2 linked regions of the Astyanax mexicanus genome follow. The protein of the gene in region 2 interacts with the protein of the main gene of each other region in a biochemical or structural test. Links are inferred from orthologs where the notes say so. Each region holds a gene or a part of one and is shown on either strand. Other genes may lie near its edges.

What was found.
Region 1: the proteins of eea1 (region 2) and rab31 form a complex in vitro, tested with the Homo sapiens proteins (2 studies listed by BioGRID). The link is inferred for Astyanax mexicanus from reciprocal best matches to the Homo sapiens genes EEA1 and RAB31.

What each region holds. Positions count from the first base shown.
Region 1 is NC_064411.1:46,539,828-46,547,780, reverse strand, and holds the start of rab31 (ras-related protein Rab-31), read right to left. Parts: upstream 3,004-7,953; 5' UTR 2,798-3,003; coding exon 2,762-2,797; intron 1-2,761. Other genes in the region: ralbp1 (ralA-binding protein 1), read right to left, coding at 7,566-7,898. UniProt on the Homo sapiens protein: The small GTPases Rab are key regulators of intracellular membrane trafficking, from the formation of transport vesicles to their fusion with membranes.
Region 2 is NC_064416.1:21,084,822-21,092,724, reverse strand, and holds the start of eea1 (early endosome antigen 1), read right to left. Parts: upstream 3,021-7,903; 5' UTR 2,865-3,020; coding exon 2,841-2,864; intron 1-2,840. Other genes in the region: nudt4a (nudix (nucleoside diphosphate linked moiety X)-type motif 4a), read right to left, coding at 7,022-7,230. UniProt on the Homo sapiens protein: Binds phospholipid vesicles containing phosphatidylinositol 3-phosphate and participates in endosomal trafficking.

The DNA of each region.
Region 1 (7,953 bases), on a different chromosome or scaffold from region 2:
CAGCAGCTGCACTGCTTTGTGATTGGTCACACTTATGACTTTTATTTTAGAAAGACAAAAGATCTTCAATAAGATAACACACTTCAGTTGCTGTACTGACAGATGCTGAGTGAAGTGATTTAATATGACACTGATTTTAAGATTACTGGCCTGATTGTTTAAGGAAAGGAATAGTGTATCAAATCAAGGATAAAAAGGTTAATGCAATTAAGGTGATGATTTACTAAAATTAGGGAATTAATTATTAAATCAAGGGAATTTAGGGAAATGGGAAATTAAGAAAATGGGTTATTAAATTGAGGGAACAATTAAAAAAATTGAGGGAACGGTTTATGTAATCAGGGCAGCAATTTATAAAAACATAGCCAGCATGTGTATATGTTCAGTTCCGTCAGCAGCTCACCTGATTTACCACATTTACCAATTTACCAAACCAGGTGTTGAAATGATGAGAAATAACTAGAACTAGAAATAGCTCTATTAAACTCAGAAAAGAGGCTTCAAAGACTTAAATAAAATTTTCAGACAGTAGTAGGTACAGATTTCCATTGCAGGAGTAGTTTTTCAGAGGCTTTCAAGGTATTAATATCGATATCTAAATTATATCGTATCGACCGAAATTAAGGAATATATCGTCGTATAAATTTTGCCCATATCGTCCAGCGCTACTTCAACAGCAGTATACACTGCATGGACAAAAAAAAAAGTCTCCACCTGGATTTAAGTAAGTAAATGATGTGGGGTTGATGCTGCAGTTGGTCTGCAGGTTTAGGTTCAGCAACAGTATGTGCTGAAAGAATGAGGTCAGCTGACTACCTGAATATACTGAATATAGACCAGGTTATTCCATCAATGGATTTGTTCTTCCCTGATGATATGAGCATATTCCAAGATGACAATGTCAGGATTCATGGGGCTGGATTTTTGAAACAGTGATTCAGGGAGCATGAGATCATCATCATTGAGAATCTTTGGGATGTGATTAATGCAATATTTCAATCCGTTGAAATAAATCTTGTGACATTGCATTGTGTGACCTGCCTTACAACATTCTACAGTCATCCGTATACACCAGATTAACAATTATTTACAAATGTAAAGCTCAGCTGCAGCATTTAAATAGCTTTGCTACTATTTAAGGATGTAAGGTGGCAGTGAAAAAAAGATAACACTGGATTTAAGGTAGCTTCTAATGGATATAAAGTTATATAGCTTGACTTTTACAGCTTTTTATAAACCTTTTTCAATGTTATTAGTGTTTTTCCCCAACTTAACCCTTTCTAGTTTGACTTTTAGCTACTCTTTTTTGTACTCTATTGACTTTTTTCTGCCTGTAGGTTCTTTAAGATCCAGCTCTTAGGCCTAAACTGACCTCAGGCCCATGTCAAAAGAGCTGCTGCTCCTTCTGCTGGTTTGTTGTCTGCTTTAAGCTGGACCATGACGTAATGGCTGCTCAGCTATAATTTGCTCTGGATTTTCTATACATACTATTTTAGTTTAAATAAACTCTTCTGAAGTCTAATGTATCTGCTTTAAAACCCTAATCCCATTGTTACTCCCACAAAACAACAATACGAGGCCAAAACTGAGCTTAAAATAGGCCCAACAGTCAGAACCCAAACCCACAGTTACAGCAGAACCGAGTCCTGACCCAGTCACTGCCAGCAGAACCTCTCAGAACCAGCAGCTGCAGCTCTACAGTTTAGACAGAAGATCTTATGCTAAGCTAACGGGGTTAAACAGCCCGAACTGAACCGGTGCTCGGTCCACAGCACGGTTCTGGCTCTCAGTCGCCGGTGTTCTGCCGAGTTCTGCTACCCTGTCAAACCGTGCTACCCTACTGTGTATTTAAAGATAAATACAAAAAAGCCGCACATTATAGATAACACTCTCCAGGAACGAGTCCAGATTATAGAGGTTCTATGATATAAGTATTTAAGTCAAAATTTTTAATGTTCAAAATTAAATATATTTATAAATTTATAAATATGATTTGTAGTTCACATTGTTTTTGTTTTTAGAACTTGTGAGCTGGTATAATGTAACATAATGGTGCAATACATTTTAAAGTAAATATATATTTTTTTAAATCTGATTTTTAGATTAAAAAAACACAAATTCTACTCAAACTGATTCAAAATTATGAAATAAAAACTATTTTTTTATACAAAATATAACAAAATATCAAACAGGTTTTTTTTATCTGAAAAAAATCCGTTTTTTTTATATGCACATTTAATTACATCACAAGCATTGTTAGAACTCAAACTGATAAATAAAAATAAATAAAGATAAATTCAACTTTTAAAGTTTATTAAAAAAATCTGAGTAAATTTAACTTTAACTTATTGAGGTTCCAAAACATGTTATGGCTAGCTTTTATGATCCACACAAGGTAGCCAGGATATTTGAAAGGGCTAAATAAGTGTATCATTAGTAAAGTTAAAGTTAAGGTATTTTTTAAATGTTTATTTTGTGTTTTTTTTGTTTATTAACTGCCTGAAAGATTTGTAACACGTGAGAAAATAATAACAGATAGAAACGTTTAAAGCATCGGAGGAAAACAGAATGACAGAATTATCTCTAATATCTTGAAAAACTAACAAAAAACAGTGGAAAATGTGTGTAAGCGCATGCGTAGTGCGGATAAGAAGCACATATCGATGGGTAGCAGAACTGGACGGATCACCGGGTGTGTGAGGATCCGGACCGCAGACAGGCGGAGGAATGCTGAGGAGAGTTGGGGAATTTGTGAACTTACCCCGAGGAGACACACTTTCAGCTCCCTGATGGCCATTTCTCCTCCTACAGCAGCTCCAGCATGATCATCCTCACCATCCCCGCGCGCTGTCCGCTGGATCTCCGGTATCAGATCCTCCTCACAGCGGCCTTTCCTCTAATAAACCTCCGCGCACCACCTCCCGACTCTTAACGGAACACAGCCCGCTAACGGAACACCCAGCCGCCGCCGCCGCAACACGACACCACCGCGGCGCTGTCCCCCGGGTCACGTGACGCTCCGTGTCGATCTCTGCGGAAGTCCGAACTGAGAAAAAAAGATTCAGTTCAGCGAACCGATTCGCTCAAAACGATTCATTGAAGATTTTCCGTTTTTTATTTTTAGTAAAAAAAAAAAAACTAAAGAGGGCACCATTTTTAAATAATTTTATTTAGTTATTTATTATTCGATTCAGTTCAATATACACACATTATATGTGGCTGGCTGAGCCACTCTCTATTCACTCTATTCACTCTCTATTCATAAATCTGTAACTACTGAAATGATGAGTCAACTCAGCGAACCGATTCAGTGAAGATTTTTCGTTTTTTCAATTTTCAAGAGATTCGGTTGAGTTAGTTAGCTAGATTCATATTTCAGTGACTTTAAAATATCAATACAGCTCTCGAAAAAATGAAGAGACTACTTCAGTTTCTGAATCAGTTTCTCTGATTTTACTATTTATAGGTTTATGTTTGAGTAAAATGAACATTGTTGTTTTATTCTATAAACTACAGACAACATTTCTCCCAAATTCCAAATAAAAAATATTATCATTTAGAGCATTTATTTGCAGAATGAAAATGAAAACAAGCTGAAATAACAAAAAATTATGCAGAGCTTTCAGACCTCAAATAATGCAAAGAAAGCAAGTTCATATTTTTTAAAGTTTTAAGAGTTCAGAAATCAATATTTGGTGGAATAACCCTGTTTTTAATCACAGTTATCATGTATGTTCTCTTCCACCAGTCTTACACACTGCCTTTGAATAACTTTATGCCTTTAATCCTGGTGTAAAAAATCAAGCAGTTCAGTTTGGTTTGATGACTTGTGATCATCCATCTTCCTCTTGATTATATTCCAGAAGTTTTCAATTTTCCTGCTTGATCTTATAAATAATTAAAAGATACAAACATCTGACTAGAAAAACACAACACGGGATGATTCTCTTTTTCTATTGGTTTCATGGATTCATCCAAAAGAGTCAAATCAAAATAATAAATTTGTTCACACTAAGAGGAAAATGAGGCAAGCACTAGGTCTTAATACTAGCTCTTCTGTATAACAACATTATCATATATCATATATAATTTGAACATCTTCATATTCGCTACTACCTGGTCTGGGTTGCAGCAGGTCCACAGCCCACCTGGAATTATTGGGTGTAAGAGGGGAATACAGGTTTTCAGACATGCATTACCTGTAGCGCCACCATGTCATCTGATTACTAATATATTGAGAAAAATAATTAAAACAACCGTGGGGGTTACATACCGTGATTATGGAAATCTGGCTGCTTTTTACAACGAGCAATGATAAATGGACCACCACTAATGGTCTAAAATTGGGATAAAATAATATTAAATTAACTTCATCTGAAACTGAACAATGTCTTTTCTTTGACCTTTAAAGTTACTGTTTTATACAAACAAGGTCTTATTCAGACAGAAATGCTGTATACACAGAAATCAGACATCATTTAAACTCAAGATACCAGCATCCGCTGTACTCATTCTGCTATTTAATGCAATAATCGCTATACATTCTTAATCCATTAGACACTATTCATATTAAACTTGATTTCCAGACACTTTATTACTTAGTACAGCATCATTCTTCTAGCAAGGACAAAGAGCTACAAAAAAACAACAGACAAAACATGAACAAGCATGAAAAATAATTTTAGAGAGAGTAGATTTGTCTTTGCAATCAGTCATTTTAGAAAAGAAGCTTATCCACACACAATGGAGTACAAAGGAAAACAGTTAACAGTATTCAGAACTGCAGATATAGAGAACTTCTCAACTGATGGAAAAGAAAGTGAGAAAAAAAAGACACAGATAAAGAAAGCTTAAGCAGAAGTAGCGTTTAGAGAAAAAGACACCATTCTCAGTGTGCCAGGAGAACATGTTTTGGGGGAGTTTCCCCCTAAACAATCACAAAATAAGTAATATTATTTATTTAAACAACTTCATAATTAATTTCATAACTAAACAATGACTTCAGACAAACAGGGTTGTTGTTGTACTCATCCCGTAGATTATTCTGATAATGTCGTGACCATGGTTAATGCACTGGTAACAAACTGGAGTTAATTGCCATATATCAATCTATCTATATTCATTTAATGAACAAAAACATGTCTATGCATGTTGTTAGGTGTAATATATTTATATAAACACCACAGCCCTACAGTGTAACCACGATTCACCTTAATCTTTCTCAGTCAAAACATAAAGCTTTCTATCGTCCATCAAAAATACTCTTTTTGTGCTTTATCATGACTAAGACCCCGTTTACACCTGGTTACATGATGTGACAAGTATCTGGATTGAATTCTGATTAGATTTTAGCCACATGTTTACACTTGGTAGATGTATATGTGTATTCGATTAGTCATACTGAAATTTGATTGGCTGTGACAGACTGTTGGATGGAATATGCAAATTTGTTCATGGCATGGCAATCATTACTGGTTCGGTTCTAGTGGGAGGAGTTTTGGTTGTAGAATTTGTCTTGGAGAGACAGATGTGTTTACACTGCTATAACATGTGGCTCTGATGAGTCTCAGATCACCCCCTGAAGTGGTTTGAGTGATCAGATTTGTATTTGTTTACACTCAATTTGACCTAATCCAGATATAATCCTGATACTCAAGACTCAATATGAAGTAATCAGGTGTAAACGGGGTCTTAAAGTGTAGAATGAGTTTTACACAGTTTACACAGATCTGTATTGGCCATTGACTAAACATTAAAAGAAAGATTAGCAGGAAAACATAATAATGTGGCATTTATTAAGATTATGGCAAATTTGATATGTTTGATTTTTTTTTTTACTCCAATATAATAATAAAATAAAATAAATAGAAATCATGCTTAAATTGGTTCTATTCGCTTGCTTCTATTTGAGGACTTGTAGATTTGTATACCTTTGCATATATTCATATAAAACCAAATAAATGGCATACTTAATTAATCATAATTAATTACTACAAATTACCCTCTGTCATTTATTTCCCTAAATATATAATATAGCAATATAGCATCTTAACGTCTTTGTCTCAACAGTTTCTTCAATGAAAAACTTCAGTATGGTTGCATTCACTCACATATGGCACAGTGGTTTCATATCTTAATCTGGTTCTCACGCACACACACACATGCATACACACACACCTCTTCTGTTCACTTGAATAAGAGCATATTGGGACCACTATTCTCCACAAAAATCCTCTTTTTAAGTCAATACACTCCTAAAAACAAAGATTTTTCACCGTTTCTTAGATTGATGTCATAGAATAGAACCACTTTGCTTGGCTTTGTTACAAACATGGTTCTAAGTAGAGATGTGATTTTTAAAAGTTAAATTATAAGTTTTTTTTGTTTGTTTGTTTCTGTGGCATTAATTAAAAGAACCACTTGTAGTAACTTTATTTTTAGGAGTGTACCTCAATGAGGAGAGTTAACTTTTCGTTTAAAATACATTCACATAATTATTTATTATTTGAAGCATAATGGAAATCCTTAGCTGTCTTAAGACAGTGGTCTTCTGTTCTCCTCCTGGAGACCCACCAAGCTAGTTTAAGGACTTTTAAAGGCAGGATTTAAGCGGTGTTCCATTTGGACGTCTCAAATATCAAAATTGTCCATTTTAAAGTAGGAATTTCTAAAGAATTTCAAAAAAGTCAGGAGAGCTCTTTCAGGCTCAAGCAGAATGACAAGTGGTTCAAACCTCAGATCTTTGGGTCATAGTATCGGCGCCTTATGCTTTATTACATTTAAACTCGCATCTTGTAATTTAAAGCAGTTAAAGCAGTAAATTTGAACTGTAACAGCCCCAAAAGTTAGATTTCCTACCCGGAAATTTAGGAAAGATAATGGAATAATAGTGTACAGTTTATTACCACTTCTTTATCAATTTTGTCTCACTAACTCAATTGTGCACTCACTACTGTCCCACTAATATCAGTAGACATGTGCAAAATACTGTATAATCTATGCTAACAATGCTAACCTGGGACATATTTTGGCTTGGACAAATTTTCACTATAATTTTCACACCAGTAAATGATTGTCAAGCCAGTTGTATTAAACTCCAAAGTGATTTGGTGTACAATTATCTTAATGTTTAAATTCAAATATCAACATCTGACTTCCGACATAGCTGAAAAGGAGCATAAGATAAGATTACAGCTATACAGGGGCAGAGCTGAAGACCACGGTTTTAAGACATTAAACACAGGGAGATCTCATTGTAAAGAAACTTCCTTTTGGCTTCTTTTTAGGATTAAAAAAGGTCCTTTAGGGCACTATGACCTCTCTCTCCCAAAAACAAAAGAAAAAACAAACAAACAAACAAAAAAAGGCACCCCTGCTCACCTGCCATTGGTTGACTGATCAATAACTTGATCCAATGACTTGCCTTCCTAAAGCTTCTAAAGTTTGTGGTCCCGAAAATTCAGTTCAGCTTCACTGAACTCTCAGCAGACGCCTGCAGGTGATGCTAGAGGCTAATGTCACACGACATACAGGAAAAAGGAAGAGAACCCAGTGGGGCATTTAAATTACAGTGGTGGATTCTGACTGGCGGTGTACGTTTTACTAGGTGAAGGTTTTAAAGTGTCCTTTCCAGGCTTCCCATTGGCTGGAGCTGCAGAAGGAGTTGCTGTGGCATCTCCCGGGGCTGTTATGGCAGCGGGTGCGCTGCGTTTAATTGGCTCTTCCACCCTGGATCGCTCTTCAGGGCTGGGCTGTACAGGAGGGGCCTGCTCTGCTGTGGGAGGAGCTGTGAGCTCCTGCTGAAGCTTCTGGCTCTGGAGGAGGCGGAGCTGGACGCGCAGTTCCAGGATGGCTTCCTGCTCTTCGTGGATGGCCTGGTTCAGGTGGGTGTTCTTGTTCTGCAGAAGGAAATTACAAGTAATAATAATAATAATAATAATAATAATACTATTT
Region 2 (7,903 bases):
TGGCTAGGAGCACTGCGACGCCCCTCCACCGCTCTGCCGCTCACTGCCTCCCACCTCCTAACTGATGAGCGGTGATGTTGCGTCGCTTCAGCTCCGCCTCTGGGAGTTTCTCGAGCCAAGGTGGGCTGGTCTGTGAGTTTCTGCCTACGTAGGCAGAAAGATAATTCAAAATTCACCCGTTTTTCGGAGGGGGGGAGGGGGGATTTCTTTGCTTAGCTCCTGCAGACAATGGGGGCTGCAAAACAGTTTAATGTGCAGGTGTACACATTCAACTCGGAGAGACCTACTGTATTCCACAAAAAACAAGAAAAATCGGATTTTCGCGGAAGGTGAACTTTAAAAAAATAGTGTGACAGCATTGTGCCCTTTATGGTTGCACTTGGCATGGCTGTTGATTAGGGACATTTGAGGATATACTTGAAACATAATACTGCTTAAGAGAAGCGTTATACATTTCTCCTCACCAAACACTGACCCTAGCAACCGGAAAACAGCAGCCACTGGTGATTCAAACAATATTACACGACACCACATGGCATGTCACTCACTTTTCCAAGTAGGCTAAATCAAAGTCAGTGCAGTAAGAGTAAGTTGTATTAAAATAACAATGCAACACTTGCCCACTGGTTTTCCAGGGAAATGAGTCATTCCAAAAGGGCTTCAGATTATTGTAATGCCCCAGTTCTCTCGCTCACGTAGTAACTTCTAACACCATCTCCTAATGCAACCAGAAGGCAAGCATGTGCCAGTCAACCGTTCCTTTTCCAACTATCTTTCCAAAACTGGACAGCTGAATGGGCTTGTGGGACGAAACATCTCCCCAAGTGATGTAGTGGGAGAGGGCCATCCTAGGCCAACTGTACTCTTGTGCTCGGAACTCTTGGCTACAGATGGCTGTGGCATCAAGAGAGATCTCCTGTTGTCTGAGCCAATGTTTATTTAGATGGCTATTAAAACCTAATAAACCTAATAATAAATACATTCTGTAACTATACTTAATTATATAATAGTCGGGACACATTTTAGGAGTAATGAATATACTTTTGTACTAACAGCAGCCAGTAGCCTTTCTCCCCTCAGACATTACTTTAACATAGAGACAAGGGACAGACACTTAGGCTGTTTTCCCTGACAGAGACAAGGTTTCCTTTCAATGGAAAATCTCAGTTCAAATGCTGCATAGTCCAAAACTAGGCTTAATTTCTATCTGGTAAAATTGCCCCTTAAAGTGTTCTGTCACAATAAAGATGTGCTTAAGACAATTTGGCTCTTCCTTGCTTGTATTAACACTGTAAACTTGCTTTTACAACATGTCTAATAAAAAAAGTCTTCTAATAGAATGACAGTAGAATGTGTCCAAATACTGGTCCACCCTTATCCTTCCCAATCCAGCAATGAGACAAACAAGTCTTAGCACACGGATACCCATCTCCTACTGCATTTTTCTTAAAAGGACCAGTCAAGTAGGGCTGCAATTACTGATTATTTTGGTAGTTGACTAATCTGATTATTTATTTTTTTAAATAAGTCAACGATTACTTCTGCCATAAGATTTAAAAGCTGTTTAAATTATAAACATGAATTTCTTTTATGTTTGATTATTATGCCATACAGGCAATGAAAACCCAAAAATCAGTGTCTTAGTAAAGAAGAATATAATATAAGACCAACCGGTACTTTTGGTAGTGTGGACATCTTGCTAAATTCTGCTGGAAAATGAATCCCGCATCTAAATAAAGTTGTGAGTAGAGGAAAGCATGAAGTGCTGCAAGAATTACTGGGAAAATCTGCTGGTCTTGGTCCACTGTGTTATATCAAGTACAAAAAAAGTGCAGTATTTTCCCGGACAATCTTACAGCACTTCATGCTTCCCTTTACTGACAACTTTATGGAGATGTGGATTTCATTTTTCAGTAGGACTTGGCACATTGCTAAGCTTGCCAATAGTACCAACTGGTCTTATATAGATAATATTTCAATATTCTCATAAACTGATTTTTTGGTTTTCATTAGCTATAAGCCATAATCATAAACAAAAAAACAAATAAAGACTTAAAATAGATCAGTGTGTGTGTGTGTGTGTAATAAATCTATATAATATATGATTTTCACCATTTGCACTGAATTACTAAAGTAGTTATGTAACTTTTCAATGAATGATAACATTTTTTTTAGATGCATTAGTAGTTAACCTAGATAATCTACAGTGAAGAAGCTGGTCAGTCACAGACAGAAACAGAAAGTGGCCAACATTCAACAGAATGCAGTAAACCATTACACAAGCCCCTGGAATAAATGAAAAACACTTGACAACAACGAAACAAACTTCTCTCTCATTAATTCAACAACTAATATTACTCCCACGACTAATAAACTGGGTGAACTTAACATTATTTAGTTGAAACCTTTCAGAATGAGCCCATGACAGCTTTATAGCTTGAGCTAGCGTTACTAGCCTTTCGGCACCACGGCTAGTCACAGTTACTAGGCTAAAGCTAGCTAGCCTAGCCTGCTAGCTATCTAGTAAGTTAGCTAGCTAACGTACTGTTTACAGGGCAGTACATAACAGTAAACAAGCAATTTTGCGTTGTTTTGCCCTGTCTGGCAGCTACATTTAGCTACTGACCTACTATATATGTTTTAAAATAGCAGTTTAATAGACACACCCCTGCTTAGCTAGCTTAGCTATTTCTTACTGCCTTTTTAATACAGGCCTCCATTCAAGCCTCCACTGACGGCCGCTACGTTAGCAAAACTAGCCTAGCTTAGCCAGCTAGCTAAACATACTAAAGCCATAGCTACTGATGCAGCCTCGTTGCAGGATTCTCCTTTATTCTTACCATCTGTAATATTCGTCTGAACATTTTGGTTTCGTTGTTTTTCTGTAGTTTAAACTGTCACGAGTCAGGAGGTCTTTCTCCGCTGGTGTATAATGTTATTCTCGGGTGTTTCCTTCCACCTGCCCGGAGCGCAGCGCACCGCAGCGTCAACCAGCAGCACATGAGTGGGTAGGCGGGTCTGCGGAGCTGCGTGGAGGAGGGAGGAGGGACTCGGCACTCAGGCAGGATTTCGGTTAAAAACTGATATTTCAGGTCAGTGTAACATTTAGCAGCTTAATTTTCTGACCGTTTGAGAAAAAAATGCAAAATTAGAAAATTGGAAATAAAAACATTTTTTATGTCGTGCAGTGTACAAGAAATACTTTTTCATCCAAGTTGGATTATAACATCAGCTTTGTGTTACAAGACACAAAAATGGGCAAATATGATTATCAAGAGAAGATAAAACTTTTATTTTTTTCTCGAAATTATGTTTGTGTAAGGCTGAAATAAAAAAAAACTAAATAATGACTTTAGTGAATTAACTCTTCACTAAACAAAATGGAAAAAATATGAAGTTTTATACCTTATTTTTTATTTAAGCTTGGTACAGTCAGAAAATTAAACTAATAAATGTTACACTGACCATTTTAGACCAGGGGTGGGCAATTCATTTTCCCAAGAGGCCACATGAGAAATTGCAACCGTTTTAGAGGGACATACTAATGTACAAAATAAATTAGCTTGGTTCTGCACAAACATAATGAACACAATGAACAATGTTACACAAAGTTCAGCGGTTATTATTTGATAACTATTGATTTGCCTATTTCTAAAATCCAATCCTCCCTCCAATAGAAGCACATTCATCTGTAGTCACTCATTACTAGAGGTGGGTAACCCAGGTCCCAGGGTTACCCACTTCTGCTCATCACACACGATGGTATTTTCCACTCTTGCCAGACCACACATGTCCACCACCTACCGGGTCGTATGGAGGAGGAGGTGGACTCTTCTGAAGCAACAGTAAAATTGATCCAGTTGTTGACAGCATTCAATTCCAGTTATTTATTACAGGGAGAAATGGAGAAACAGCGAGGCCTGCTTTACAAGACCGCAAATATGAAGTACCAGAATTTATCCTCTAACCAAAAAGCTTATTTTGTGGTGTAAAACAGCTTTGAACATTAAGGACACAAACACAAAGATTTCTCCCCCAGAAAAGCATTTCAGACAGTGAGGAGGAACTGCCATTCAATTTCAAATCCCAACAGTTTGGACACATTCTCTCATCCAATGTTTTTTTTCTATATATATATTTGTATTATTTAATTGTATTATTTATTTTATTTTTTATTTATTTTATTATTTATTATTTTATATTTCTTTTTATATTTTATTTTACATTTATTTATTTTGTAGATTAAAATCAAAGACATGAAAATTAGGGACACATTATTTAGTATCATGTGACCTAAACCGTATCAGCTGAGATGGTGATTTGAGCTGATTTGGGATGAGCTGAAGCTTCACAGCACGAAGAAAAAAGCAGCAACTATTATTCAGGACCCCCAGGAACTCCTTCAAGACGCTGAGAAAACTATTTCAGGTGACTCTACCTCATGAAGCCACTAAGATTAAAATACCAAGAGTGGGCAAACACACTCAAGAGTGTGTTTAAATATCAAGTGGCTTCAGTGTAGATTTGTTAGCCTATACCCAACTTGTCAGACAATATGTAAAGTCTGGAATTATCATGGCATTCGCATGTCGTTGCAGTTTCACAATTAAGTAATTTTCGAATAAATGTAAAAATATTAAATCGAATCTGACTTGTTGCCACACAGTTGTTACATTTCCATTTGCAACTATCAAAAACACAAATTGTAGTCAAATTGCCACCAACTTGAGTGTGAATGAATGAGTAGGTAGTACCCTGTGTTGCACTGGCATCTGGTCCTGGAGGTATCCTTGCCTCTTACCTAGTGATTATTCCAGGTATCACGAAGAAACAGAGACGTAGATGAATGGAAATCTGTTTAGATTTAATCCAACTTGCTCCTCTTCTGTTTTGTTCTGACTTTAAGAACAGAATTGAAGAGCTAAATACATCAGTTTAACCAGCAGCATAATCAGGAACTGAAAGAGGAATTAACCAGTGGGTGGAACAGAATTCATGAGAAAAAAAACCTCTTCTTCTGGGCTTTCTGGAAGTCATAGCTACCTGTGTGACTGTAGTCTACCAGTTGTAGTGTAACTACTGTTACGGCTCTTCAAAGTGGTTTTATCGGGACCCACCTTTTATCTGGAACAACAACAAAAAAGTTCCACTGTATTAATGTTAGTGCTAATGTATTATTTTCAGAATATTAATAAGAGGTCTACCAGACATTTGAATTATTAGTAAGGTGTTTTTTGGGCACTTATTGCCCAAACTGAAGGACCTAATTTGACCTAATCTTCCTCAAACACAGATGACCATAGATTTTTCGTATAACATCTGTAGCCTGAATATTGCATACAAAGACTGCATACATTGGTATCTACATCATATATCCTTTCTTTCTCAACCACAAGTGCATATACAGCATTTATTTATCCAATAAAAACCAGTGAAGACAAAATCAAAATCCAATGCATTAGTGAAGACATGATTGGTGAAATTTGTCTTCAGTCATTTGTAGGACTAATAATCATGGCTGTAGTCACAACATATAATGGGCAGGACACCCCCTAACTAGAAAAAAAAACATATTTTACTAAAAACTGCCAATAATTGTATAGAGTATAAATGAACATTTTGCAATTGAAGTCATCAATGTCTTTATATTTCATTATCATTTATTAGAAATACAATGTGAATTCTAGGTAAATGTCAATCACAGGTGTATCATGTAGAGAGTAGTAGTTTTCATTTATTAAGGTCATTAGCAAAATGAAAGGTGGAAATGACATATGGCAGTTTTTGGCAGTTTCAGGTAAAATGTTAATACAAATGTTCATTGTTTAACCCAAGGTTAGCAGCTTGGAAATAATATATTTTGGTTGCCTTGGTTGCATTTTCATTCACAATAACCACATTAAACATATTTCCCACCACAGCAAAGAGCCAAATAACCCAGGCAGGGACCCAATTTAATGTTCAGTCATTGCCTTAACTGACTGCATTGGTGGCTCAGTCACCAGAATGCTGGGTTACTGGTTCTAGACCCAGGTTCACTCAAATGCTACTGTAGGAAAGGCCCTTCACTCTGATCCTAGTTTTCCCAGCTGGAATATGCAGAGATCATTGTATTATACTGTACAAGTGGATAAGCATAATGACAATACTTAAAGAATTTGAAGATCAAAAGCTTTCTTGCCTCAATTGTCTTTTACCATTCAATGATCCAGGGCTGTTGAGAAGATATTTATAAACAATAACAACAAAAGTTGAGGCACAGTCGCCAGCATTAAATAGGTTTCAAGATTGTTGGGACACACAGAAAGCAGTTAATAAACAGCTGTTTAATAGGTTGAGTTCACATTTAAGATCAACCCGTGAAAACAACTTACAGCATTTTAGATTTAGAACATAGGCAAAAAATAGCACTAAAGTCTTCTAAAGCAATCAGAGGCACATCCCAGTGAACTTGAGGATGCGTAAGAGTGTTGACTGCTTTTAAAGGCACCAAGCTCAGTCAAATAATAATGAACTTTCAGAATTTTTCGGAAGAAAATAGCTTAAAAAAAAAATCATTTTTTGGCAATTTGGTTGTGAATTTGTACATCAAGTATTTTTTTGCACATCTTTATTATCCTGTTCTTATCTAAAGATTCATTTTTTTAAACCACCACTCAAACCATGAATAAATAACACTATAAATCCAGCAGTCATCTCAGCTCTTTCTCTTTACCTCTTCGTAATTCCATCCACAGATCACGATCCGAAATGTCCACCAGTGTCACTGTAGCTTTCACTTTCAGCTCAATTCCAACATCCTCTTGTTTGGCTGTGTCAAACTGTCTTGCAGAAAAATGAAAATCTATACACACTACAAGCTTGAGGCAAAAGTCAGAGGCAGGCTCTCCTCTGATTTCTCAACGATTTAAAAAACATTTCTCAAATAGTAAACATGGAAACAATACATGCAAAAAGAGTCTTTTTCCAGTCCAAAGAGAAATTCCTGTGTGTGGTGCACAGCTGCCCCCTGTTGGCAGTTCTATCTGTGTAAGCGGGGCAGACCTGTGCAGTCCTGTGAGGTGCTTTGGTGGAGGGGGGCGTTGTTGTCCAGGGCTGTGGGCTCCTGACTGTTGCCATTGGTGGGGCCACAGCGAGGGGTGAGTCTGCGGAGGTATTCCGCGTGGACTGGCTTGTGGCACTGCAGCACCCGGATAGCCTCGTCAATCTTAAACCACTTTCTTTTACGACCTAAGGGAAAAAAAACAGTGCAGAAATATTTTACACTTCAACACACAAGAGATTTTAATGACATATGAATGTGCACATGTTGAGTTCTTGTTGGAATGTAGTTATATATGTGTAAACACAGTGAAATTATATTTTTCAGTTCCTGTAACCTAAGCTTTATATCCCATTTTTAATTTGTTTTTAATTTTAACATAATCTGTTGTAAGCCTTACAATTGTGTCATTCTTTTGAATAAATAAATTCTGTGTTAAATAAATCAATGCGAATTATCATAAAAAAGAAAGTAAAAATTACATTCCTTGATGTATATTATATATTGCTTAACAAATGTCATTAAGGGCATCCTGAGGTTTGTGGACAGTGGAGTGGATGGATGTCTGGATGTCAATGTTTTAGGGTGCTATAATGTCTATGTTACCTTCTGGCTGTTTTCTTTTAGGTAGCTGTTATAGTCAGATCTGACATAATTGTTAGCCACACTTTGATAATCTGATCATATTCACTGTACTTCATAGAACCAGTAAGAACTAATTTAATCTCTTTACCTTTCCGATAGTTCATCTGTCTAGTCGAATACTAACGGGACTGATAAGTTTTTCCCATTACCCAGCACAGAGCACTAGCTGCCAACTGTCCAGCTTATGCTACCTGCTTCTGACTAGTTCCCCACATT